6 linked regions of the Mus musculus genome follow. The protein of the gene in region 4 purifies or fractionates together with the protein of the main gene of each other region. This does not show direct contact. Links are inferred from orthologs where the notes say so. Each region holds a gene or a part of one and is shown on either strand. Other genes may lie near its edges.

What was found.
Region 1: the proteins of Mapk14 (region 4) and Ccdc8 purify together in Homo sapiens (affinity purification with mass spectrometry; 3 studies listed by BioGRID and IntAct, counting the BioPlex papers as one, with this or other methods). This does not show direct contact. The link is inferred for Mus musculus from reciprocal best matches to the Homo sapiens genes MAPK14 and CCDC8.
Region 2: the proteins of Mapk14 (region 4) and Obsl1 purify together in Homo sapiens (affinity purification with mass spectrometry; 6 studies listed by BioGRID and IntAct, counting the BioPlex papers as one, with this or other methods). This does not show direct contact. The link is inferred for Mus musculus from reciprocal best matches to the Homo sapiens genes MAPK14 and OBSL1.
Region 3: the proteins of Mapk14 (region 4) and Dusp9 purify together in Homo sapiens (affinity purification with mass spectrometry; 8 studies listed by BioGRID and IntAct, counting the BioPlex papers as one, with this or other methods). This does not show direct contact. The link is inferred for Mus musculus from reciprocal best matches to the Homo sapiens genes MAPK14 and DUSP9.
Region 5: the proteins of Mapk14 (region 4) and Dusp16 purify together in Homo sapiens (affinity purification with mass spectrometry; 7 studies listed by BioGRID and IntAct, counting the BioPlex papers as one, with this or other methods). This does not show direct contact. The link is inferred for Mus musculus from reciprocal best matches to the Homo sapiens genes MAPK14 and DUSP16.
Region 6: the proteins of Mapk14 (region 4) and Iqgap1 purify together in Homo sapiens (affinity purification with mass spectrometry; 3 studies listed by BioGRID and IntAct, counting the BioPlex papers as one, with this or other methods). This does not show direct contact. The link is inferred for Mus musculus from reciprocal best matches to the Homo sapiens genes MAPK14 and IQGAP1.

Annotation. Positions count from the first base shown.
Region 1 is NC_000073.6:16,992,433-16,996,701, reverse strand, and holds the start of Ccdc8 (coiled-coil domain-containing protein 8 homolog), read right to left. Parts: upstream 2,801-4,269; 5' UTR 2,115-2,800; coding exon 57-2,114; 3' UTR 1-56. UniProt on the Homo sapiens protein: Core component of the 3M complex, a complex required to regulate microtubule dynamics and genome integrity. It is unclear how the 3M complex regulates microtubules, it could act by controlling the level of a microtubule stabilizer.
Region 2 is NC_000067.6:75,503,653-75,507,851, forward strand, and holds the start of Obsl1 (obscurin-like protein 1), read right to left. Parts: upstream 2,801-4,199; 5' UTR 2,573-2,800; coding exon 1,561-2,572; intron 315-1,560; coding exon 45-314; intron 1-44. Other genes in the region: Inha (inhibin alpha chain isoform 1 preproprotein), read left to right, coding at 3,596-3,866. UniProt on the Homo sapiens protein: Core component of the 3M complex, a complex required to regulate microtubule dynamics and genome integrity. It is unclear how the 3M complex regulates microtubules, it could act by controlling the level of a microtubule stabilizer.
Region 3 is NC_000086.7:73,638,127-73,642,240, forward strand, and holds the start of Dusp9 (dual specificity protein phosphatase 9), read left to right. Parts: upstream 1-1,314; 5' UTR 1,315-1,515; intron 1,516-2,066; 5' UTR 2,067-2,101; coding exon 2,102-2,678; intron 2,679-3,220; coding exon 3,221-3,676; intron 3,677-3,957; coding exon 3,958-4,114. UniProt on the Homo sapiens protein: Inactivates MAP kinases. Has a specificity for the ERK family.
Region 4 is NC_000083.6:28,725,842-28,729,341, forward strand, and holds part of Mapk14 (mitogen-activated protein kinase 14), read left to right. Parts: coding exon 1-3; intron 4-384; exon of another isoform or gene 385-863; intron 864-2,515; coding exon 2,516-2,630; intron 2,631-3,062; coding exon 3,063-3,134; intron 3,135-3,500. UniProt on the Homo sapiens protein: Serine/threonine kinase which acts as an essential component of the MAP kinase signal transduction pathway.
Region 5 is NC_000072.6:134,789,829-134,793,766, forward strand, and holds the start of Dusp16 (dual specificity protein phosphatase 16), read right to left. Parts: upstream 2,801-3,938; 5' UTR 2,449-2,800; intron 1,985-2,448; exon of another isoform or gene 1,410-1,984; intron 1-1,409. UniProt on the Homo sapiens protein: Dual specificity protein phosphatase involved in the inactivation of MAP kinases. Dephosphorylates MAPK10 bound to ARRB2.
Region 6 is NC_000073.6:80,796,832-80,800,331, forward strand, and holds part of Iqgap1 (ras GTPase-activating-like protein IQGAP1), read right to left. Parts: intron 3,119-3,500; coding exon 3,019-3,118; intron 1-3,018. UniProt on the Homo sapiens protein: Plays a crucial role in regulating the dynamics and assembly of the actin cytoskeleton.

The sequences.
Region 1 (4,269 bases), on a different chromosome or scaffold from region 4:
AGAGGCATCCCAGTAGCTAACAAAGGCAGGCAGGGGGCAGGGGCACTGGGCTTCCCTTACAGCTGTTCTTCTTGCTCTCTGTGTTCCACATCTGCTCTGATGTCAGCCCTTAGTACCCGGAGGCTCCTGGCCTCACCTGCCCTGGGGACTCTCCTGGGCAGGGTTGGCAACCTGGGAGTGTGCCAGAAGACTCTCCTGCGCATGCGAAACCATGAGAAGCGTCCTGGGGTCTGGAACCTCACTGTCTTTACCTGTTTCTGGGCCCTAGATCCCGAACCAGCTGAGGCTTCCTGTATACCCTGAGGTCCTGCCTCCTCCCTCTGGTCATGGAGGACCCCTGCCCTTTGGTCAGCTAGGACCTCCACCCTCTGATTTTCTGTAGCACCAGTTCTTTGGTTAGCTGGGCCCTCTGCCCTCTGACTATCTATGGCTTCTGCCCTCTGGTCAGGTGGGACTCCTGCCCTGAGATAAGCTGCAGCCTCTACCCTCAGATTAGCTTCAGCCTCTGCCTTTGGACTAGCTGCAGCCTCTGCCCTTGGACTAGCTTCAGCCTCTGCCCTTGGACTAGCTGCAGCCTCTGCCCTTGGACTAGCTGCAACCTCTGCTCTTGGATCAGCTGCAGCCTCTGCCCTTGGACTAGCTGCAGCCTCTGCTCTTGGATCAGCTGCAGTCTCTGCCCTTGGACTATCTACAAGCTCTGCCTTCTGGTTAGCAGCAGCCTCTGCTATTGGACTAGCTGCAGCCTCTACTCTTGGATCAGCTACAGCCTCTGCCCTTGGACTAGCTGCAGCCTCTGCTCTTGGATCAGCTGCAGTCTCTGCCCTTGGACTATCTACAAGCTCTGCCTTCTGGTTAGCAGCAGCCTCTGCTATTGGACTAGCTGCAGCCTCTGCTCTTGGATCAGCTGCAGCCTCTGCCCTTGGACTAGCTGCAGCCTCTGCCCTGGGACTAGCAACAGCCTCTGCCCTGAGACTAGCTGCAGCCTCAGTCCTTGGACTAGCTGCAGCCTCTGCCCTTGGACTAGCTGCAGCCTCTGCTCTTGGATCAGCTACAGCCTCTGCCCTTGGACTAGCTGCAGCCTCTGCTCTTGGACTAGCAACAGCCTCTACTCTTGGATCAGCTGCAGTCTCTGCCCTTGGACTAGCTGCAGCCTCTGCCCTTGGACTAGCTAGAGGCTCTGCCCTCTGGTTAGCTGCAGCCTCTGCCCCCTGGTTCTCTGCAGCCTCTGGGTGCTCCTCAGCTGGCATGCCTGTTCCCTGAGCGAAGGGTGGCACCTGCTCCTTCCTGCATCGTCTCAGGGAAACCCACTTGATCTTGGGCTTCCAGCGTCTAGTACCCAGCATCTGGTCACTCCGGTCTCCTGTGTTTCTGGAGCTATCATCGTCCGAGCTGGCTTGGCTGTGTCTCATTTCTCCAGCCCTCTCAGCTGCTGTGGAGGCCTGCTGGGTCTGGCCCACCTCGGAGCCTGATCTGGGTGCCCAGCCCTTCACCCTCTGTTTCAGCTTCCCCCAGGACACCTGGCTAACATACTCCCTCCATCTGTCGGCCTTGGATGGCTGGGGCCCCAGGTTGTTCTCAAACATGGGCACTGGAAGATTGACTCGGCGTCGTGGAGGAGGCGCGCTGGGCTTCTCCCCACGGCGGAGGAAGGCCTCCACCAGCTCCTGATCATCCTCACTCTCCACATCGCTGCCCAGGAATTTGCTGCCCAAGTAACTGACCGGCATTTTGCGCACCTTCCTGGTCCTCCCGGAGGAGCTCCTGTTGCCTTTGACTTTGGAGGTATCGAAGTCACTCAACTCACTGTCGCTGCCATTGCTGCTGTCATAGGTACCTACAACCAGCCGAAGTGGAGGAGTGACCATCTGCGGGACTCTCCTCACTCTCAGCTCCTTGGTTCTTTTGCGGGGTTGGGGTGGGTGTGGAGTGCTCTTTTCGATGATACGGGCCACATCTTCCAGGGTGCGGCCCTCCTCCTGCAAAAACTGGATTAGCCGCTCCCGAAACTCAGCTTCCTTCGTTGCAGGCTTGGAGATGACTCTCCACACGCCCCCAGCCAGGCGGACCTCCCGGGGGATGAGCAGATAGTCAACATCCTCCCCAATCTGCAGCATCCCCACCGTGGAGTCCTCTTCTTTGCGGAACACCTTTCCGATTTTCTTAAAGGTGCCCACAGGCCTTAAGGCCTCCACTAACACGTCCAGATCGACATCTTTGCAGACGTCGGGGACACTCCAGAGGATCAGGCAATCGGGAGACGGAAGGAAGCCCCAGGGGAACCATCCCCCTACGTGGCTTTTTTCGAGAGTCTTTAAGATCTCCAGCGTGGACGCTCGAGTGGGGGCAAAAAGCCCAGACACTTGGCTGCTAGTCTTGGGGAGGGGGCGGTGGACAGTCCTAGCAACTCTGCTCGCACAGAGTGTCTCCTCCCTACAATTTTCTCTTCAGGAAACAAGTCCAAGTTGGCTTCCCCAACCCCCTCGGAGTTGTAGCAAGCAGTTTTCCAGGATGCTTACATGAACTGAAGCACGCTCATTCCCGAGGCTCAAAGTTCAGTCCAAACTGGAATCGCCAGTGTCCCGGCTCCAAGTTGGGGTCCCACGAGCTCCGATCGCTTCTCCCTTGCCCCAGACACCAGGATATAGCTGAAAGTTCTTGGGAGGACTCTGCAGACAAAGACGGCTCAGCGTGGCCTTTCAATATGGCGAGGTGCTTAAAGGCCTCCGCCCAGCCCCGAGGAGGGTCTCCCGCCCCCAGGCAGTCTGCCACCCGCTCCAAACTGACCTTGCGCTCAGTCTGTGGTGGAGCTGAGAGCCGCAGGAAGTTTCTGGGCGCCCTCCCCTCCTGGGTGAGGCCCACCTTCTCCTTCTCATCTTACACTCTAAGCCTGGGAAGACTGGCAGCGGGGCTGTCCACTCCCCTTCAGGGCAGCCTCCCTCTCCTCCCCCACAGAGGTGTGGCTGCCCCCCAGAGCCTCAATGGGGCCAGGGCTTCCCTTAGCTGCAGCCAAAACCCACGTCATCATCCTTCCCAAAAGGCAACGGGTCCCCCAACCTGCCATCCTAGACGTGCAAGCCCAAAAGGTGCGAGTGCTGATGGCTCAAATCCTTTGAAGGCTATTGCAATTATGAACGTGCGTTTAAAATTAAGGGGATGGGACTAGAGGTGGCTCAATGGTTAGGAGCATGGGCTACCTTTATGTAAGACCTGGGTTTGACTCCCAGAACCAATACGATGGCTCAAAACCCTGTTTATTTCCAGTTCCAGGGGATCCAATACCCTCTTCTGATCTCTGTGAGCACTGCATATACGTGGTACACACACACACACACACACACACACACACACACACACACACACACACACAGAGAGAGAGAGAGAGAAGACATTCATGCACACAAAAAGGGGCACACAAGATAACCCAATGGGTAAAAACATTTCCCCAAAGCCTGAATTCAATCCCAGAACCCACATAAAACCAATTCTACAAAGTTATTGTTCAATCTCCACATGTGCACCCCTATACACAGATTGTACATATATTAATTCACACACGATAAACACGGGTTTTGTTTGTTTGTTTGTTTGTTTGTTTGTTTTTCGAGACAGGGTTTCTCTGTGTAGCCTTGGCTGTCCTAGAACTCACTTTGTAGACCAGGCTGGCCTCGAACTCAGAGATCCACCTGCCTCTGCCTCCCAAGTGCTGGGATTAAAGGCGTGCGCCACCATGCCCAGCCCGATAAACACGTTTTTAAAGTAAAATATTTTCTTGGAGTTGGAGAAATGGCTCCATGGTTAAAAGCACAGGCTGCTCTTTCAGAGGACCTGGGTTCAATTCCCAGCACCCACATAATGCTCATAAATGTCTGTAACCCCACCTCTAGGGGATTTAACACCCCCCCCCCACTGATATACATCAAAACACCAAAGCACATAAAATAAATATATTTTTTAAATAAAAAATTTTCTTAAAAATAAAAAAACCTTTAAGATCACAGAGATGTTGTACCCTCAGTTCTTAGTTTATGTATCCCACGTGGCCTCAAACTTTCAGGGATCCTCCTGCCTCAGCCTCTGTCTACTAGGCTTTACGTAGGCCACTATTATCAGGCTTAAGCAACAACAACAACGGCCAGGTAAGGAAGTGACTTTAATATCAATATAAGAACATATATCAGGCATGGGATGCACACTTGTGATCGCAGTAATTGAAGGCAGGGGGATGAGGAGGGTAAGGTCACTCGCAACTTCAGAGAGCTCACACCAGCC
Region 2 (4,199 bases), on a different chromosome or scaffold from region 4:
CGAGACACCACCAGGTCTCAGCCTCCTCCCACTGGCCAGCTGACCTTTGACCGTCACATTGGCCACAGTGCGCACTCGGCCCCGCATCTCGCACAGATAGACGCCATCATCATCGGCCTTCAGCTTGTGGATGACGAGGCGTCTCACAGCGCCCTCCTCGATCTGCTCGTACTTGCGGCAGGGTAACAGCCGTTGGTCCTCCCGGAACCAGGCGGTGGGAATTCGAGAGTTAGGTACTTTACACTCCAGCACCACAATCCCGTGTTCCCGACCCTCCACATCCTGCAGGGGCCGGGTGAACCGTAGGCGGGGTTCTGTAGAAAGAGAAGGAGAGAAGGCTCAGGAGCAGGAGCAGGAGCGAGAGACTAGCTGAGGAGGATAACACATACTTGCTCTTCCTAGCAGGCTAGGAATGGCGGCCGAATTCCCAGCTAAGTTAGTTGGCCTAATTCCCAGCCTGACCCCGATATCACCTTGGACACGTCTTATAACATTTCTGGGTCTCAATCTGCTCATGTGTTAAATGGGGGAGGGGAGGCGGCAAACATTCAACCAGATCAGTGGTTTTCAAACCGTCCCTAACACTACACAGCATCTCCCAATTCTTCAAGGATCTGCATTGAATTTCATTTTAATATAGCATTCTAAGCATTTCAAAACCATATTTCGGAACTTGGAAACCACCAGAGAGTTAACTTGCTGAGGAAAACAAGGTTTGGCCCCACTGGGAGAAGTTTCTTTACTTTCTTGAGGACATTGCAGTTTCTCACTGGCCTGGCAAGTCTGAGCAGGACGCAGTGAGGACACTGTCACAGCTCGGATACCACACACTTGGTTAAGTGTCAGGCAGGACTCAAGGGAACTTCCCAAGCATGTTTTCCTTGAAGGAACAAGTTGGGCAATCACCAGTGAAAATGTAACCCCTCAAATCGTGGTGGTCAAGTCCTATTAAGGGGAGCCTTAGCTTCCAATGTGACTCGAGAGTGCCTTGTTTTCTCTGGATTTTCTGTTCATGGGTACTGAAAACGTGTAAGGTCACCTCTCCCCCCCATCTCTTTTGCTTTCATCTTCTTTGAAACTTAAAAGAATCCAGACTGGCTGGTGTTTTTCCTCTGACACATCCACCTCTCCTGTGAATGAGCAGTGGCTGCTGGGAGGTTTGCACCAGCCTTCCTAACAGATTCCGGGCCCCCGAAGCTGTGAACACAGCCTCCACTCCAAATGTGTGTTTTCAATACAGCAGCCCCCTTTTTCTCACCGATTAGCATATTATAAATTTAGCCCTAGTTATTTACTCCCACAACATGCTCCTATTATTTTACAGATATTGCTACCAATGGGAATCCAGTTGGGAAAGAAGGCCTAAAAGAAAGAATAAAGGATAAGAATGTTCTAGGATTGTTAAGATTTACACAGTCTATTCCTTGGCTTAGTGGTTTTTACCACCTGGGTAGCTGGCTAAGAAATTCATCAGTGTACTGGAATTCAATATTCCTCCGGACATGGGGGTGGACATGAGCAAGAAGGACCTCTGGGGGCACTGGAAGCACGGTGCTCTACCTTTCACGTGCAGCTGGACCGCGCTTAGGGTCTGGCCCGCCGAGTTGCGCGCCGCGCACACGTAGAGCCCACGGTCCTTGGCCTGGCAGTAGAGCACCTTAAGTACAAAGCCGCCGTCGCGGTCGCGGTACATGAGGCGGCGGCGATCGGGGAGCAGAGGGCGGCCCTCCAAGTGCCATTCGATCTCGGGCTCAGGTTTGCCCATCACGTAGCAGCGGAATTTGGCGTGCTTGCCCTCGTTCACCCAGAAGGTCTTGGGCGCGCCTTTGAGCGGCTCCAACACGGGTTTGGGGTTCTCATCGGGATCCTGGGGCGGGCTCTCGCGGGGCTGGTGCACCTGGAGCAGCGCGCCCGCCTGCGCGTGGCCGTGCGCGTTGCGGGCGTGACACACGTACACCCCGGAATCGGGCAGCCGTGCCGCCAGGATGCGCAACGTCAGGCTCGCGCCCTCGTCACTCGCGCCGCGGCCGGGCTCCAGCTTGAAGTGGCTGCTGTCCCATACTTCGTCCAAGGCCATCCCATCCTTCTCCCAGTACAGCTTGGGCTCCGGAAGGCCTCCCACCTGGCACGTCAGCACCACCTCCTCCCCTCGCAGCACCCACTGGGACTGGGGCCCCGTCAGGAACTTCGGGGCGCCCTCCCCGGTGCCCGGTGTTGGCAGCGGACACTCGGAGGACTCGGGCTCCGGCTCGGGGGCCGGGGGTTCCAGCACGGTGACGGCGGCCGCCGCGTAGGCCTCTCCGGCCGCGTTGCGGGCGCGGCACACGTAGACCCCGGCGTCGGTGGGCAGCGCGCCGCTCAGCAGCAGGCCGTGCTCGGCGCCGTCCTCCGGAAAGCTTAGGCGCTCGGAGGCCACCAGCTGCTGCCCGCCTTTCTCCCACACGACAGTGGGCGGCGGCTCTCCCAGGACCACGCATTTGAGCTCGGCCTCCGCTCCACTTACCACCCGCACGGGCCGCGGGAAGCGTAGGAAACACGGGGGGCTCCCCTGATCCCCTGATCCGGCCTTCATTGCGGCCGCTGCAGATGGCTCGCCTGGGCGCGCGGGAAGGCCGGGAGCCGAGACCAGGGCGTGGCGGAGCGGGCGCCGGGACCGGTGGGACTCCTGTGACCGCTCGCCTCTTTACCCTGGACCCTGGCCGCAGCCCTGCTACGCGGCAATTCCCGGGCCGGGAGCCCAGAGCTCAGGGGGCTGTCCTTCCTGTTTGCCTGCTCAGCGAGGGGCCCTACAGCCTAGACTGCCCGCGGCCGGGCTTCCTGCTCTTGGGAGTCTCTCTTTCCAGCCCCCTCCCACAGCCTGGGCCTCTTTCTCCTCCCTCCCTCCCACCTCCGGCCTCCAGGTCTCCAACTGCGGGCCTGGCTTGGGCTTGAGTGACTTTGTCGCCTGCAGCTGCCAATCCCAAAAATATTCTCTGATGACACAGCTGGAGGACAAGAGCTCAGACTGGCTCCTCCAGGCTAAGTATAGAGCAGGCGGGACCACCTGCCCTCGGCCCAGAGCCTCAACCCTAGGTCTACCCTCCCACGTTGGCCTAGCAGCTGCTAGGATTGAAAAGAGCGCCAGAAAGTCTGAGGGGGGTGGTGCATTCTGTCCTTCTGACAAATGATTTGATGACTGGTCAACCTTAAGCACCCAGGCACCTGTGGTACCTGATGTAGATTCTATGTGTGTGTGTGTGTGTGTGTGTGTGTGTGTGTGTGTGTGTGTGTGTGTGTATTTGAGGAGTGGGTTGTATGCTTGCCTGAATGGGTCAGGTCACTTGGGGTGAATACCCATCACAGCCCCTTCCCCCACATTCTTGGCGGGAGTGGGAGATAAGGCTCAGGGCCACAGACATCTGCGTCAGAGATAGGAGGTCTCAATGCCATGGGCAGGGGCGACTGGGACTGTGGGGCGTGGGAAGGACTGGGGGAGACTGGGGTGAGAAGGGTAGAAGAAGGCCAGCAGTGGGATGGGGAGGGGACAGTGGGGAGGTCCTAGACAGAAAGGGCACAGGGCAGCGTGTGGGTTCCCTGTCATCAGGGCAAGTGAACTATGGTGAGCCAGCGGTCTCTGCTGCTCCTTTTGCTGTTGACCCTACGGGATGTGGACAGCTGCCAGGGACCCGAACTTGTCCGGGAGCTCGTCCTGGCCAAGGTGAAGGCTCTATTCCTAGATGCCTTGGGGCCCCCAGCAATGGATGGGGAAGGTGGGGATCCTGGAATAAGGCGTCTGCCTCGAAGACATGCCGTTGGGGGTTTCATGCACAGGACCTCTGAACCAGAGGAGGAAGATGTCTCCCAGGCTATCCTTTTCCCAGCTACAGGTAATGAAGTTGGGGATTGGCAGGTCAACTTTGAAGAGTAGCCGGTACCTACTTCATGGGCTTGGGAATCAGGCAGCTCTGGGTATGAATGGCAGCCCCACAACTCAGCTGGCTTTGCGGCAAGGGGCCAGTTCCTAAGCCCCTCTGATCGACATCAAACAGGTGGTAGCCTCTACCTCAACATCAGATAGGTGGTAGCCTCTACTTCTCAAGCGGGACTGATCCAGTGAGCCTAGCATGCCTGGAATACAAAAGGGGAAGCTAAGGCTCTGTAGAGACAGCTTCTGTTGCTGCCTGTGGTCTGTCCTGCGTTTTGTGCCCCCTACTCTCCCC
Region 3 (4,114 bases), on a different chromosome or scaffold from region 4:
CATCCATGGCCTCATGCCACCACTAACTTGTCCACAACATAATCAAGCCCCAGTCAGCTCTTGCCAACACTTGGCGTTCTCATTTTGAGAACATTCTACTAATGTAGTGACTGGGAAGTATTTCCCTATTTTTTTGAATTGGCTTTCCTTCCATGCCTGAGCTTCAACCTTTCCCCATATATTCTTACCCCATCACATTCCTTCCTTTGGGCAGAGTATGCAGTCCTTGAGTTCCTTACCCATTTATCTACGGGGTCTTAACCCTTTGATTATTTTGTGCGAGCTTTATCTTATCTGTTGTGTGTTTTCCTTTAAAACTGTTATTTGCTTTTCTTGGGCTTTTAGCAGAGAAAGGACACATGGCCAGATGGGGCTTTTTTAGAAGCCTCCCCTGCCTCTCCTTTCATTGTCAGCACTTATCACCCCGATATCTGGTCCAGTGCCTTTGCTTATTGTTAGTGTGTCCTGCTGGACTAGAACACCCAGGCAAGGAGAGCCCTTGTGTGTCTTTCCTGTTCATCACCTGTCCAGTGGGCTGGCTGGAGGCCACCAGCCTTAGTGGACTGAATGGTGCTCTGGAATGGGGCAGGGTGGAGACACGCTGAAGTTTCAAAAACTGGGACAGTGACTTGTATAGTCATGACCACTAGAAAAGCCAGAAGGAGAATGGGGATGGGGACATATTGCAGTAAAACGACTTCTTTCCACGTGGATCCATCCAGGGGCTTATGGGAAAGAGGCTTTGGGGAGGCGCCCCTCTTCACCTGATAAGAGCACAGTGTCTCAGTTTAGAGTTGGGTGCTCGGAATTCTTGTGTACCTTTAGCTAGGCCTGTACAAATGAAGCCCAGATGGAAATAGCACACCCAGGAGCTGCCTTGTGCCTTCAGTTTTTTAGTGGCATCTCACAGTAAAATACATTAGAAGGCTCTGATTGGCCCATTATACAGATGGGGGCCATCTAGTTCCAGGTAGTTCAGCATTATTGAGTTGTTTGAGACAGTTTCTGGTTCTGGGGCTCTGGGCTTTTGTCCCCACCCCTCTTCCTGCTTCCAGGGACCAGACTGGCGCCAAGCAGGGGCAACTGCAACATGTCCCCTGCTGGGCCCCCGACCTGCCCTTGGCCTCTGCCCTGACCCTGTCCCGCCTGGGTGGAAGCCCTAGCTCAGCCTGCGGCTTGCAACTCCCACCAGGCTTTTCCTTAGCCCTGGTTGGCTCTCCTGCTCCCTGAGCCCGCCCCACCGCCCCGCCCCGTCCCGCCCCTTTGAGCTGCTACTTAGTCGGTCCGAAGGCAGAGCCTTCCAAGGTGGAATCTGGATTCTGCTGCCAGGAAGCGGCCGGCGCACGAGTGGCGCGAGGCTTGGCTTCCACGTGCGAGCCTGCTCCACCACCCCGCCCTCTCCGAGCGCCCAAGCCTGGGGGATCCGTCTCCATGAACGATACCTACGCCCTGCCGTGGCACTAGCTGTGGCCAGGACGTCCGGGTGCAGTCGCCTGCCTCTGGATCTCGCTCCAGGTCTCTCCTTTTGTTCTCTCCTGGGGTGGGTAGGAGTGGGGCCGAGTCAGCTCTTACGGGACTCGCCGAGGCCCACAACCTCGGTGACCCTCTTGTTCTCTGGGTCTTCCGGGCTTTAGAGGAGAGCCGGGCCTTGAACCCAACTTCTCCACACATCCAAAATTGAACTTGGGGAGTGATGGAGATCAGAGCAAATGAGAAAGTCAGAAAAGGGGTGTGGAGGGAACTGGTTTTAGTCCTCCTAGCACTTCAGAGACCGGTAGACGCCCAGCTATCTTCTGGGGTATGTCTCACGAAAACTCCATGTAAGCGGGGCAGGGAGCAGCGCCCAAGTGGCGGCAGCCTCGGGTCTTTTTCCAGGGGCGCCTTCCTTGGTGTTCTCACTGTGGGTGGAGCGCGAGGAGAGAAGCAGGCGGTAGAGGAATGTCCCTGCGGGGACACTGAAAGCCTGCCCTCAGGACAGGGGTTGACTTCCCGCCTCAGTAGCCTGATCCACGCTGCAGGAGTAGAGACAAACTTGCCCTCACTCCGCGCCTTGCCTCTCTCCACAGCACCCACTGCCCGACGTGCAGGACGCTGCGCGACCATGGAGAGTCTGAGTCGGTCATGCCTGTGGCTGCGTCAGGAGCTGTCGTCCCCGCGCCCACAGCTTCTGCTGCTGGACTGCCGCAGCCGGGAGCTGTATGAGTCGGCGCGCATCTGCGGGGCGCTGAGCGTGGCCCTGCCCTCGCTGATGCTGCGCCGCCTGCGGAGGGGGAGCATGTCGGTGCGGTCGCTCTTGCCTGGGCCACCACTGCAGCCTCCCCCACCGGCCCCTGTGCTCCTGTACGACCAGGGTAGCAGTGGCCAGTGCCATCGTGAAGCAGCGGAGGCTGAAGCGAAGGCCGAACCTAAGGCTGAAGCGGAGGCCGAACCTAAGGCTGAAGCGGAGGCCGAACCTAAGGCTGAAGCGGAGAACGAAGCGGAGGCTAAAGCGGAGGCCAAAGCGGAGGCCAAAGCGGAGGCTAAAGCGGAGGCCAAAGCGGAGGCCAAAGCGGAGGCCAAAGCGGAGGCTAAAGCGGAGGCCAAAGCGGAGGCCAAAGAAGAGTGGGATGCTGACTCGGTGCTGGGCGTCCTGCTCCAGAAGCTGCGGGAAGAAGGCTACCCAGCATACTACCTACAGGGTAAGTGAGGGTCAGTGGCCTGAGAGAGCACTCTGGAGAGGCCTCAGGTCAGGAGAAAAGATCCTTCTTTCCAAGGGGATTTCATAATTACTTTATCCTTCAGCAAACTCAATCTTATTTTGTCTAAAATATAGGGTAAGCGCCTCCCTCCTGATAACCTGCCCAACAGCTTTTGGGGAGGCAGAGCTGACCGTGACCTTGGGCAAGTCCTTCATCCCTCCAAGCCCATTTATAAGTCTGGATAATGGGGAGAATTGACCTGAAACAACCTGGTTCACAGGATAATGCCCCAAGACTAAGGGCTGCATTGGGCACTTATCAGCCAAAGAAACAGTCACTAATGCTGAGTGAGGGTGGATGGCTGTCTATAGCACAGCACATGTGGTTTAAACAAATCTGCTGGCTTATGCGTTCCCTTTGGCAATATCTGCAACCCCCACCCCGGAGAGCTGTGTGGTGTCAGCTCCCTAGCCCCAGCTAGGGATACTTGGCTGCCCAGAGGCTATATTAACTAGTAAGACCTCGCCCTTCTTTCCTGACAGGTGGCTTCAGCAAGTTCCAGGCCGAGTGTCCTCACCTGTGTGAAACCAGCTTCAGTGGTCGTGCCGGCTCAGGCCTGGGCTCAATGTCTAGCCCAGTGCCTGTGGTGGGGCTAGGTGGCCTGTGCTTGAGCTCTGATTTCTCTGATGCAGAGTCTGAGGCTGACCGTGACACCTTGAGCTGTGGCCTAGATTCTGAGAACACCACATCCCCTCCAGCTGGGCTGCTACCACCCTTCCCAGTCCAGATCCTGCCCAATCTCTACCTAGGCAGTGCTCGAGATTCAGCCAATTTGGAGAGCCTGGCCAAGCTTGGCATCCGCTATATCCTCAATGTCACCCCCAACCTTCCTAACCTCTTTGAGAAGAATGGTGACTTCCACTACAAGCAGATCCCCATCTCTGACCATTGGAGCCAGAATCTGTCCCAGTTCTTTCCGGAGGCCATTGCATTCATTGGTAAGTCCTCCCTACTTTGTCCCCCTGTCCCTCCCCCTCCACAATCTCCACCCACCAGACTGATTCTTGGCCTCTCGTCCTCCTGACTCCATTCCCAGAGCCCACGTGACACTTGGGGAGGTGGGGGTAGAGCTCAGGTCAACTGCCAGTGAGAGAGATCCTTCAGATATGGTCTCGGCAGGGTAGGGAGGCAGTGATGGTGATCCCAGAAATTCGTATAGCTTTGGTCTCACTCATAGTGACCCTTAGGGGGTGTTTCTGTTCTGTCCTGTTTTACCTAGATGAGGCCTTGTCGCAGAACTGTGGGGTGCTCGTCCACTGTCTGGCAGGGGTCAGCCGCTCTGTCACTGTCACCGTGGCCTACCTCATGCAGAAGCTTCACCTCTCACTCAACGATGCCTACGACTTGGTCAAGCGGAAGAAGTCTAACATCTCACC
Region 4 (3,500 bases):
AAGGTAAGAAAGAAGAGATGGACTGTTTGCTTCTCTTAAGTGTTCCCCAGAATCGTGACCAACCACACTTAAGCCACGACTTGCTATCTAAAAAGTCATTTGTCCTTAGGAATATCAGACTGTGAGACTTGAACTAGGCTGAACAAGCTGTTTAAGTAACTTTGGAAGTAGATGTCGGTATCTTGTTTTCATTTTTAAAAGATAATTAAATTAGAAATGCAACACATTAATTGTAATAAAGGGATATTATAGTCTAAATGTCAGTTAAGCCTTCCTGGAACACTGATAATTAGATAGGTTCCTAAAAGGAAAAATTGCAGATCTCAGAATGATCTAAATAAAACCTAAGTAAATTAAAATTAAGTCTTTAAAAAGTAAGTAGAGGCTGCCCCCTGCCCAGACTGACGAGTCAGCCCTGCTGTCCCGAGCGCCATGTTGGGTTCTTCTAGCGTTGCCGCCATGAAGAAGGTGGTTCAGCAGCTCCGGCTGGAGGCCGGGCTGAACCGCGTGAAGGTTTCCCTGGCAGCTGCAGGCTTGAAGCAGTTCTGTCTGCAGAATGCTCAACATGACCCTCTGCTGACTGGAGGGTCTTCAAGTACAAATCCCTTCAGACCCCAGAAAGTCTGCTCCTTTTTGTAGTCATCTATCTTGAGGTTTCTCAAACCACTTTTCATGAACCAGTGACTATTCAAGAGAGCTAAGTTTGAAGTCTGTACAAAAGCTTCTCTTTAACACGTGCCATAATACACTATCTTCTGCTCGTCAGTCCTTAACATCTACCTCTCTGAATTCCATGGGTTTCTGTCTCACAAGGTTTAACTATTTTATATACACTGGCTGTAGCATACAATAAAGCAGCATACAAAAAAAAAAAAAAAAAGTAAGTAGCTGCCCAAGGAGCTAAAGAGGTCAGCAACCCTATAAGAGGAACAACAATATGTACTAACCAGTACCCCCCAGAGCTTGTGTCGCTAGCTGCATATGTAGCAGAGGATGGCCTAGTCAGCCATCAGTGGGAGGAGAGGCCCCTGGTCTTTCGAAGATTCTATGCCCCAGTACAGGGGAATGCCAGGGCCAGGAAGCGGGAGTGGGTGGGTTGTGGAGCAGGGCAGGGGGAGGATATAGGGAACTTTCGGGATAGCATTTGAAATGTAAATGAAGAAAATATCTAATAAAAAAGAAAAAGAAAAAAAGGAAGTAGCACTATGCTTTTTTATGATTTTATTTATTTATTTATTTATTTATTTATTTATTTATTTATTTATTTATTTATTTATTTTGGATTTGGGTTTTTCAAGGCAGCAGTTCTCTGTGTATCCCTGACTGTCCTAGAACTCACTCTGTAGACCAGGCTGGCCTCAGAAATCCACCTGCCTCTGCCTCCCAAGTGCTGGGATTAAAGGCGTGCGCCACCACTGCCCAGCAATGAATTTTTTGAAATGTCTGCAGGGGGCTAGAGAGATGGCTCATTTCCCAGCAGCTACATGGCTGCTCACAGCCATCTGCATCTAGAGCATCTGATGCCCACTCTTCGTCTCTGTGGACACTGCACAGACTTGGTGCACAGATATCCATGCAGGCAAAACACCCATGTACATGAAATGGAAAAGGAAAAGAAATGTACTTCTTTGTAGAGTGTTGCGGCCGCCAGCAGCTCGCAACATGAACGGTTCGACTGAGAAGGCTACTCGAGCTGTAAGAGAGGAATCTAGACGGGGCGAAAGAAGAAACGGAGCCAAGATAAATTCATTCTGATCAAAGCTCAAATTTTATTGTTGGGACACTAGTTATAAAAGAAGGGGGAGGGGACCCGATTTCCGCCAAATAATCTCTGGTCCAGTAAAAAGGTGCACGTGTGTGGCTCCGCAGGTTCTAGCAGTGGGCGTGACAGAACAGATGAGCGGGAAGCTCCACCCCTGAGCAAGCAGGTTTCAGGCTGGGGGAGGAGAGACTACAGTAGAGTTGTAATGTCCATGTAACCACAGTGATGACATAGTAACCTCCATAGTTTCAAAAGGTTTGAGTGTCCCCTCCTAGTGACCCATGACTCTCACCCTTCATTCAATGCAGGCAGCCACTGACCCAATTCTGACTCTGGATTAATCTTGTTTCGTATAAATGGAACTGTCGAGGGTCATGCACATTACTGAATTGTGTGCTCATCTGTATTGTGTGCTCCAGCATTCCCAGTTGTTCAGCAGTTTCCTTTTCATAAGCACACCAAAGTTTGTACGCTGCTGTCCTATTAGTGAGCACTTGTGGTTCGGAATATAAACCTATTGTGAACATTCCTGTGCACACCCGTGTGGGCATATGTTTTTATCCTTGAGTAAATGGGGGGGGGGGTTGCTTTGCTTGAAGCTTTATTTTTAAAGTTTCTTGGAGTGTTTTATCATGTCATGCATTCTAAGTGAAAACTGGGGTGCCCTCTTTCTGAAAGTGACTTTTCTGCTTTCCTGGTTGTGAGGTAGCAGAACTTGCTGCTCCCATGCCTGACTTCTGCTCTTGCCCTTAGATTCTGGATTTTGGGCTGGCTCGGCACACTGATGATGAGATGACAGGCTACGTGGCTACCAGGTGGTACCGAGCCCCAGAGATCATGCTGAATTGGATGCACTATAACCAGACAGGTACTGACTGCTTCAGTCGCCTCCCCAGATGGGGAAGGGGTGCTCCCTAACATGGCTTTCAGGTGACTTAGCAGCTGGGGCCTTACTTCTTACGTCTTCCGTGTCATTCTTTCTGTGACACTACCTGAGGGGAGTGGTCTCTTAATCCTAACACCTATGTTTCCTGGGAGGATTCACCATTTACCAGTAACAAAGTTTTGCCCCTTTGTGAGTTGCTTATTTCTTTTATCTTAATTATATTCTGAGTTGCACGACCTGTGGAGTCTTTTCTTGAGTGACAATTTTAATAAGTTTGTTTCTATATAAAAAAGATTGTCAAACCTTGGGTGTCTTAAATCCTGACTTGAATCTCTCACTCATAGTTAGAGTCATTTGTGTCCATGAATATGAATAGAAACCATGTCGGTGCTTGTATCCTCTTTACTGTTCCAGTGGATATTTGGTCCGTGGGCTGCATCATGGCTGAGCTGTTGACCGGAAGAACGTTGTTTCCTGGTACAGACCGTATCCTTTAACACGTTTTGGCCCTGTTTCTCATGTGTGTGCTGTGGTAGATGTGTGCTTCCCTAACTCATTGGTGGGGAAGACTCAGTTCTTTGCAGTTCCAGCGTGGCTTTTGAGGTCTGTCCTCTTGTTGAGTTGCTCACCTTGCCAAGAAAAGGCTTTGGGGTTGAGAAAACAAGCTTAGAACTCACCTGTCATATTTTTGCAGCAAGTCCCTTTATTAATGAGTTTAGTCTATTCCTGAAAATCCTTGGTGAGTGTACACGGCCACCTGTATTCAGAGGTATCTGGTTCTCACATTTGCTTATGTACTAAACAGACTGTGGGTCCCTCTGCTGACACGCCCGCTGAGTCCTGTCCTATTTG
Region 5 (3,938 bases), on a different chromosome or scaffold from region 4:
CAACAGAAAAATGTCTTTGTTAGAAATACCAGGAACACATAAGACTCTAGGATAAATTACACTGGTAAATGATATCAAGTTATATTTTACAGGACTTTATGGTTGGGTGAAAATAGAAAAGGCTTAACAATGAACATGTATATAAACTTGTTTGTTTAATATATTAAGTCCAGATAATGAAAATTCTATGAAATTCAATTTCCTAATTCAGGCAGTTAGAGAAGAAAAAAAAAAAAGCTATTTTAACACTCCAACATTGTTCCTGTTCTTCTCTAACTCGAGCCAAGCTTCCTTCAAACTTCTCAGACCTACTCTTTCTCTATGTGGGAGGGAACATAGTTTACACCTAGGTCCTCACCTAACCCCAGCCAGACTCTTAAACCAGCTGACCTCTGCCTCCTCTTTTCCACTCTACAAATAAATCTTCAATGTGTAAGAAAGCAGGAGAGAGGGGAACTGAGTTACCAGGATCTTCCTCTTTGACCCCTTTCTCAATTCCTATAATTAAACCTCTGTTCAAATAGACCAGGAACCCCCAATTTCGTATTAACATTTTAAATTTATAGGTACTCAACTACATTCACCAAGCTGAACTATGAGACAAGAACTTCCAAACTGAACAGAGTGAGGGGTGGGGAGGGAGTGGTAACTGTGTACTTCTGTTCCTGGCCCTGTCTACTGAAACTCACCATCTGAAACACTGAAGGAAAATCAGCACAATTCTAGGATAAGTATTTCACTTGAGTTGCTAAGATACCAGAGAGTAAAATAAAACAAAAAATTGTAACTATCATTATCAACAGTTTATACTTTCTAAACATCAGCTTATTCACCACTTACTAAAATGCAAAATAAACTTACTTCGAATTTTCTCCCCATTTGGAACTCTGATAAACACAAAATCTTACACCTTAAAACTAATAATTCAAGCTGAAGTTCTGAATTTGTCCATAAGATGGTAAATGTTATGAAAATATCAACATTCCACAATGTCTTTAAACACAATAAGTTCCACAGTTTTATTTTTTACATAAAGACAAAACCCTTTTGCAGTGCCTGGTCACATTTTGACTAGAATACACAAAGCCACAGACACTTCAGTTTTCAATTTACTTCTCCAAGCGACTGGTCTTCACCCAATAGAGAATTCTATAAATCTGAATTACAGCCTCCCACAGTGTGCTCGCTAATATTTGAATTGTCTCAATTGTTAAGCTTTTTTCCCCTTCTTCTGAAATTTACCTTTAAAGGTCTTTTCTTTAAGGGAGATGAAAAAGTGTAGGCTTTTTGAGGAAGTAGTTGTTAACTGTATGTACTATCAAGCTCCACAGAGTGGCCAAAGAGGCTTATTCCCCCTGAGAATCTATTTCAGAGAGAGAGAGATAACGTGAGCAGGAGAGAACACATACCTGGTCATTTTCCCAGCAGGTTCGATAGGTTTGATTCGCTTGTAAGAGCAGAGTATTTACTTACAATCTTTAAAAGCAAAGTGGCACCCAGCGCACTGTGTAAATAAAAACCTCAGAGGTTTAAAAACCCTCATCCTAACTCACTTCCCCTTGGTTCAGGGGACGGCACAGCCAACCCCACAGCAAATGAGATTATGCAACAGGTTTTTCCTCTCTAATCATGGGCTGATTAGAGGTGTGCGTTCTCCAAACAATCTGAGACACACAGGACTTCAAAACACCAAGGATCTTTGCAACAGGCGTTTAAGAAAAGTTCTTTCCAATTTTGCACAAGCCATTCATTTTAAGATCTCCTTGTACTTTCCCCAAGTGTATTATCAGCTTTCTGTAGGAAACAACCCGTCGCTCTTAAAGAGTTTGCATGTATGTCCTCCTTAGGGTTTTTTTTTTTCCACGTGAAACTACACCGTACACACACACACACACACACACACACCGTCCGTTGTTTCCCCGTTTTCATGTCTCACATTTTACAGCTACTGTAAATAAAGGAGTCACCGGCGGACCGTTTTCCTCCAACACCGTGACGGGAGCCCCGGAATGAAAGTTGAGTTTTGGGGGTGGGTTTTTTTTTTTTTTTCCTTGTTTAAGGAAGCGACACGGTCGCTCCCCAGGTGGCCTCGCTGGCTGCCTGCACACACACAAGGTGAATTTGGGATTATGGAAACAGTCAGGGCCCCACTTGGCAGGCGTGTTGTGTAACAGTCTGGAAGTGAGCAGCTTCGCCCGCCCAGGTGCCGGCGACCCGCGGCCCGGGGCTCGTTCGCCCGCTCGCCCGCTCGCCCGCTCGGCGCGGCGAGGCCGGGGCGCCCCCGCGGCTCGGGCCGACCCCCAGCGCGGCCTACACACCCCCCGCCGCCGCCGTCGCCGCTCCGGGCCGCCGTGGCCCGCCGGCCCCCGGCCGGGGAGAGCGCGCGGCGGCCGGCACGAGGAGCGGACGCGCCTCCCAGCCGGCCCGCGGCCCGCCGCGAACACTTACTTGAGGGGCCGCCGGCTCCAGGCTCGCGGAGGGGAGCGAGCGTTGTCACCGCGTCGCCCAGCCGTCGCTCGCGCGTCCTCCTCGCCGCCGGGGCTTCTCCTCTGAAGGGTGGGCGGAGAGCTTAGCGAGAGCCCGGGCGTTTGCAACTTTTCTTCACTTTCTCTTCCACCGCCCCCCGAAAGAGGGAAAAAAAAATGTCGACAGGGATGAAGAAGTTGAGGTAAAGTTGGGGGTCCGCGCGGGAAAAGCGAGAGGGGGAGGGTAAATGGTTGGAAACGGGATGAGAGCCCCCCCAAACGGTGATGCCCGCAGGAGGGGACCAGGGGGGGTAGTGTGGGGGTTGGGGAGAGAGAAAGAGTCGCTGGTCAGGAAACTTCAAGCGCGGATGAGGTCATCGGTTTAAAAATAAAGAGATGGCGTCACTTGAAACCAATCCCAGTGAATGAACTCAGCGGAGCCCGGGGGGGAAAGGAGGAGACGGGCGAGGGCGGGGCGGGGGGCGGGGTGGGGGGGCGGGGTCTCCGGCCCAGGCCGCGCATCGCCCGCCCCTCGGCGCTCGTCCCCGCGAGCCGGAGCCTCCGGAGCCTCCGGGAGGCGGGCTCGGGTCGCGTACCGGGCCGACCGAGCGGCGCCTCGGCGCTCCGGGTTCGCGGCCCGGGAGCCTGGGTCTGTGGCCCGCCCGCCTCCTGCCCGCGCTGGGGTCTCTCCTCCGACGGAGGCGGCTGCTCCAATGCCCCCACTCTAGGGGAAGGAAAGCAAGGCGATCTGAGAGTGCTGCAGTCAATCATTTTGTAAGAAGGTCCCGGAATCCCAAATCCGGGGCTTTTCTCTTGAGAGGGAAGTTACAGGTACTTGAAGGAAAACTGCACCGGTGATATCAAACATATCTTCACCTATGTCTTCGTCCTTGAAAGACCCTACTACACGAGTGCGGGCAAACGCAGCCAAGAATTATTTTTTCTAAAAGAATCTTTTCTGCGTGCCCTCGAGATGGCTCAACAAGTAAAGGGTCCATGCGGTGGAGAGAACCGCCTTTGAAAGTTGTCCTCAGTCCACATGCTGTTCCCCACCCCGCTACACACACACACACACACAAATAAATAAATAAAATGTAATACACACACACAAATAAAATGTAATAAGACGTTAAAGGTATTTTAGGGTTGTTAGGAGCACTGACGGCTCGATTCCCAGCACCCACATGGCAGCCCAGAACCATCTGTAACTCCAGTTCCAGGGGATCTGATGCCCTCCGCTGACCTCCATGGGCACCGAGCACACATGGGGCGCACACACAAACATGAAATCAAAACGCCCTTACACATTAAGTAAGTATTCTCGACATCGGTAGTACAGCATCATCTTTAAGTCAAACCAGAGTTCACTTGCTTTCAAGAGATGCAAGACCTACTTGAGCCTACTTTAACTCCAAGTCTTTCATGGGTTTGGGTTTTTTGTTTGTTTTGGTTTGCTTTTGCTTTTGCTTTTTT
Region 6 (3,500 bases), on a different chromosome or scaffold from region 4:
ACAGCTATTATGCCCAGAGCTTTAAGTAAAGAAGGAAGTAAATAAGAATATCATAAACATCTTTACTGCCTAAAGTAAACAACCAACTGAAAAACCCTTCAGGGACTAGTGGTCTCTCGATGGGTTGCATAATCAGGCTACTTTTCTATCCCGGAAAACACGCCTGTCAGGAAGGACATGCTCTAACGTACTGCAAATAAAATGTTGCCAGCGCTGCACCCGGAAAGAAAGTGTGAAGAGCATCATTAACTTCTAATAGGTCAGAGTCTAAAACCATTCAAAGAAAATTTAAACGTGTTAAAAGTACGAATATCCTACTTCTCAACTAGGGTAAGAAAGCCGATCTAAATCACTTAAGGTATTTGAAATATTTAGGTATGAAGCTGGGGTATGGCTCGGCAGTAGGACACTTACTGAGTGTTCGGCAGTAAAACCCAGATTATCCGCATTTGTAAAAACTTTCGCAAGAGATTCTAATGCACATACCACATACCCAGTTGAGGACCACTGCGCAAACAATGAACATTCCTTAGCCAGAAAACTATGGGAAACTATGCCAGGTGTAGTGGCAGACAACTTTGTTTGGCACTGGGCTCAGGGCTCTGTCATTCTCAGCTACATTGTGAACTCCAGGCCAGCCTAGGCTACATGACCCCTCCCCCTAAAAGAGAAGCTACAGGTAGGCTAAGAAAGCTCAGGCCTTGGTTTTCTCACTGAAATGAGGTGGCTAGTCGGGACAGAAGTTGACTTAGTGTCAGGAATGGAGCCCCACACTTAGCAGGCACAAGGCTCGAAACCTCAAGCACTTCTGGAAAAGTAAAACTCTTACAGGTAGGAGAGGGACTCAGCAAGCTGATGTCTTCCTTCTCATTCCCGATGGCTCAAGGGAGCACACAAGATGGCTTCTGAGACCAGCTGCAGCTTACAAATTCCTTGACCTTCCACAAGGAGAAGTTCACAATTTAAGTGGCAGAGGACTTAAGTGTTTGTATCCCCTTACAAACTTCCTAGGAGGAAATGTCCCTTTTCTCACAGTACCTTCTTCTCTTGCTCCCTGCAGTTCCATTTGCCATCACATGGGGAAAGCAGCTCGGAGGGGCAGCAACTGCTCTTTATGCCTCATCCCTCCCTGGGCACTACCAAAACCATCGTACTAAGCTTCCATTTCGAAGACAAGTGTCAGCTGGGCAGTGCTGGTACACAACTTTCATCCCAGCACTCAGGAGTCGGAAGCAGGTGGATCTGAGTTCAAAGGCAGCCTGGTCTACAAAGTGAGTTCTAGGACAGCCAAGGCTTCACAGACAAACCCTGTCTTGAAAAAAAAAGAGAGAGAGGGAGAGAAGGATAAGGGGGGAAGAAAGAATAGGAAGAAGAGAAGGAAGAAGGAAAAAGAGGAGGAAAAAGAGGAAGAGGAGGAGGTGGTGGCAGTGGTGGTGACAACTGGGGAAGACTAGTGTCATTATCGATAATCCTCACCTACCTTACCACTAATATCTTTCTCTGACTTTCTGAAAAGGCTTTAAACTCAGAGAGGCAGCTGAGATTCAAAAAGACAAATAGGGGACAGAAAAGATGGCTCTGGAGTTAAGAGCCAGGTCCCATTCTAGCACCTAGGAACTCCTAGGTTGGCCTACAATCTCCTTCAACTCCAGTTCCAGGGAAGCCGCTACTTCAGTCTTATAAAGAGTCCAGGGCAGGGTGCCAAGGGGACCATATCTGGGGCAGTTTTTGTCATCTTTAAAGAAAAGGGAGCTCTGAAGGGCTTCTTGGGCCTAGGAGCTCATATTTACTGCCAACTTTCCTGGCCAGCTCTTGACAATCAAATCAAATTTCCACTCTTGTTTTAATCATCTAAAACATCCCTGGTTTTCACTAAGCCTGGATGACAATTATCTCCCATTATTCTTCAGTGTACACGACCTATAATTGTGTTTATCTGCTCTGGAACCTTGCAAAGAAATGTAAGCAACACAACAAAAGGAACCACTGATAACAAACTGACACCCTAAAATTAAGATCACAAGGTCTTGAGATATCTGGAGAAGATAAACAGCAGCTGAGTATCCTCCTCATAAAGAATGCAGAGGAGATGGGTGTGGTGGCGCATGCCTGTAATCTCAGCACTTGGGAGATGCTAGTGGGAGGACCAGAGAAGCCTCAGCAGCAGGATGAGTTTGAGGCCAGCCTAGGGCTGAGATTCCCATCTCAAAAAAAAAAAATGTGTGGCAGCATTGAGTTTGCGGAAAGGCCTCGCCATGCTGCTGGTGGACAGATCTATAGCTACGGCATGACCCTCGTAAGAAGGTTCTGCAGTTTTCTTCTGGCACTGGGTGTCTCCCAGGACCTTGAGCACTCAACAAGTACTTTACCACTCAGGTATGTCCTCAGCCCCTTTCAGCTCCACCCTTACCAGCCCCCTAAACCTAATACCCACTCCATGAGTCACCAGGAGATGGGGCTCAATACACAAACCAAAACCCTGAAGAATTAGGAACCACTGAGAAGATCAAGAACATCAAACCCTAACTTAAAACGTTATTTCTGACAGCTGGCAGTACCCAAAACAACCACTACAAACAGAAAGGCTGAAAAACACAACTGTGGAGATCTTTCAGCAGGCACAAGTGTTCGACAGAGTGTTTCATCATAACCCACCACGGCCCACTTGTTCCCATGAATAAACACTCTACACTTATCCTACCTACTTACCCTTTCAACTGCCAGCCGCCAACACTCTTACCTAAAACATAATGCACACAGAGAGCCACCTGTGGAGGCTGGGTAGACAGCTCGGCAGTTAGGAACACTTGCTGCTCTTTCAGAGGACCAGAGCTGGGCTGCCACCACCCACATCAGGTGACTGTAACTCCAGCCCCAGGGAGATCTAAGGCCTTCTAACCTCCACTGGCAGCCATACATGGATACCAGAAACCATACACAGAAATGAAAACAACTCTTTTAAAGGCACAGCACATCAGCTCCTTCTCCCAGGCCACTCTCCAACTAGTCCCTCCATACCTCTTTGCTTCTTCCAGATGACAAAGGTATTCATAAGCCACGTTCTGCCGTCTCCGCTCATCCATCTCCTCTGCAGTGAGCCTCTCATTATCCAGGACGGCTAAAACAGAAAGGAAAGAGTGTAAACACCAAGCTCTGTAACTTTCCTCAGCAATAAATGAAGGCCACCACCATCAAATTGCTGCTAGTCACCTAGAAAGGCAGGCTAACTAGTGGATATATGGGTAGCCAGGGGCACTACAAATGATTTTCCTAAAAACAAACCATATGGTTTCAACTACATTCATCTTACCATATATACACACATATATATATATATACACACACATACACATTATTATATATTATATATTATATATTATATATTATATTATATATTATATATTATATATTATATATTATATATTATATATTATATATTATATGTGGGGGGTGGTAAGGGGTCATAGAGACATGTCAGCAGTTAAGAGCACTTGTTGACC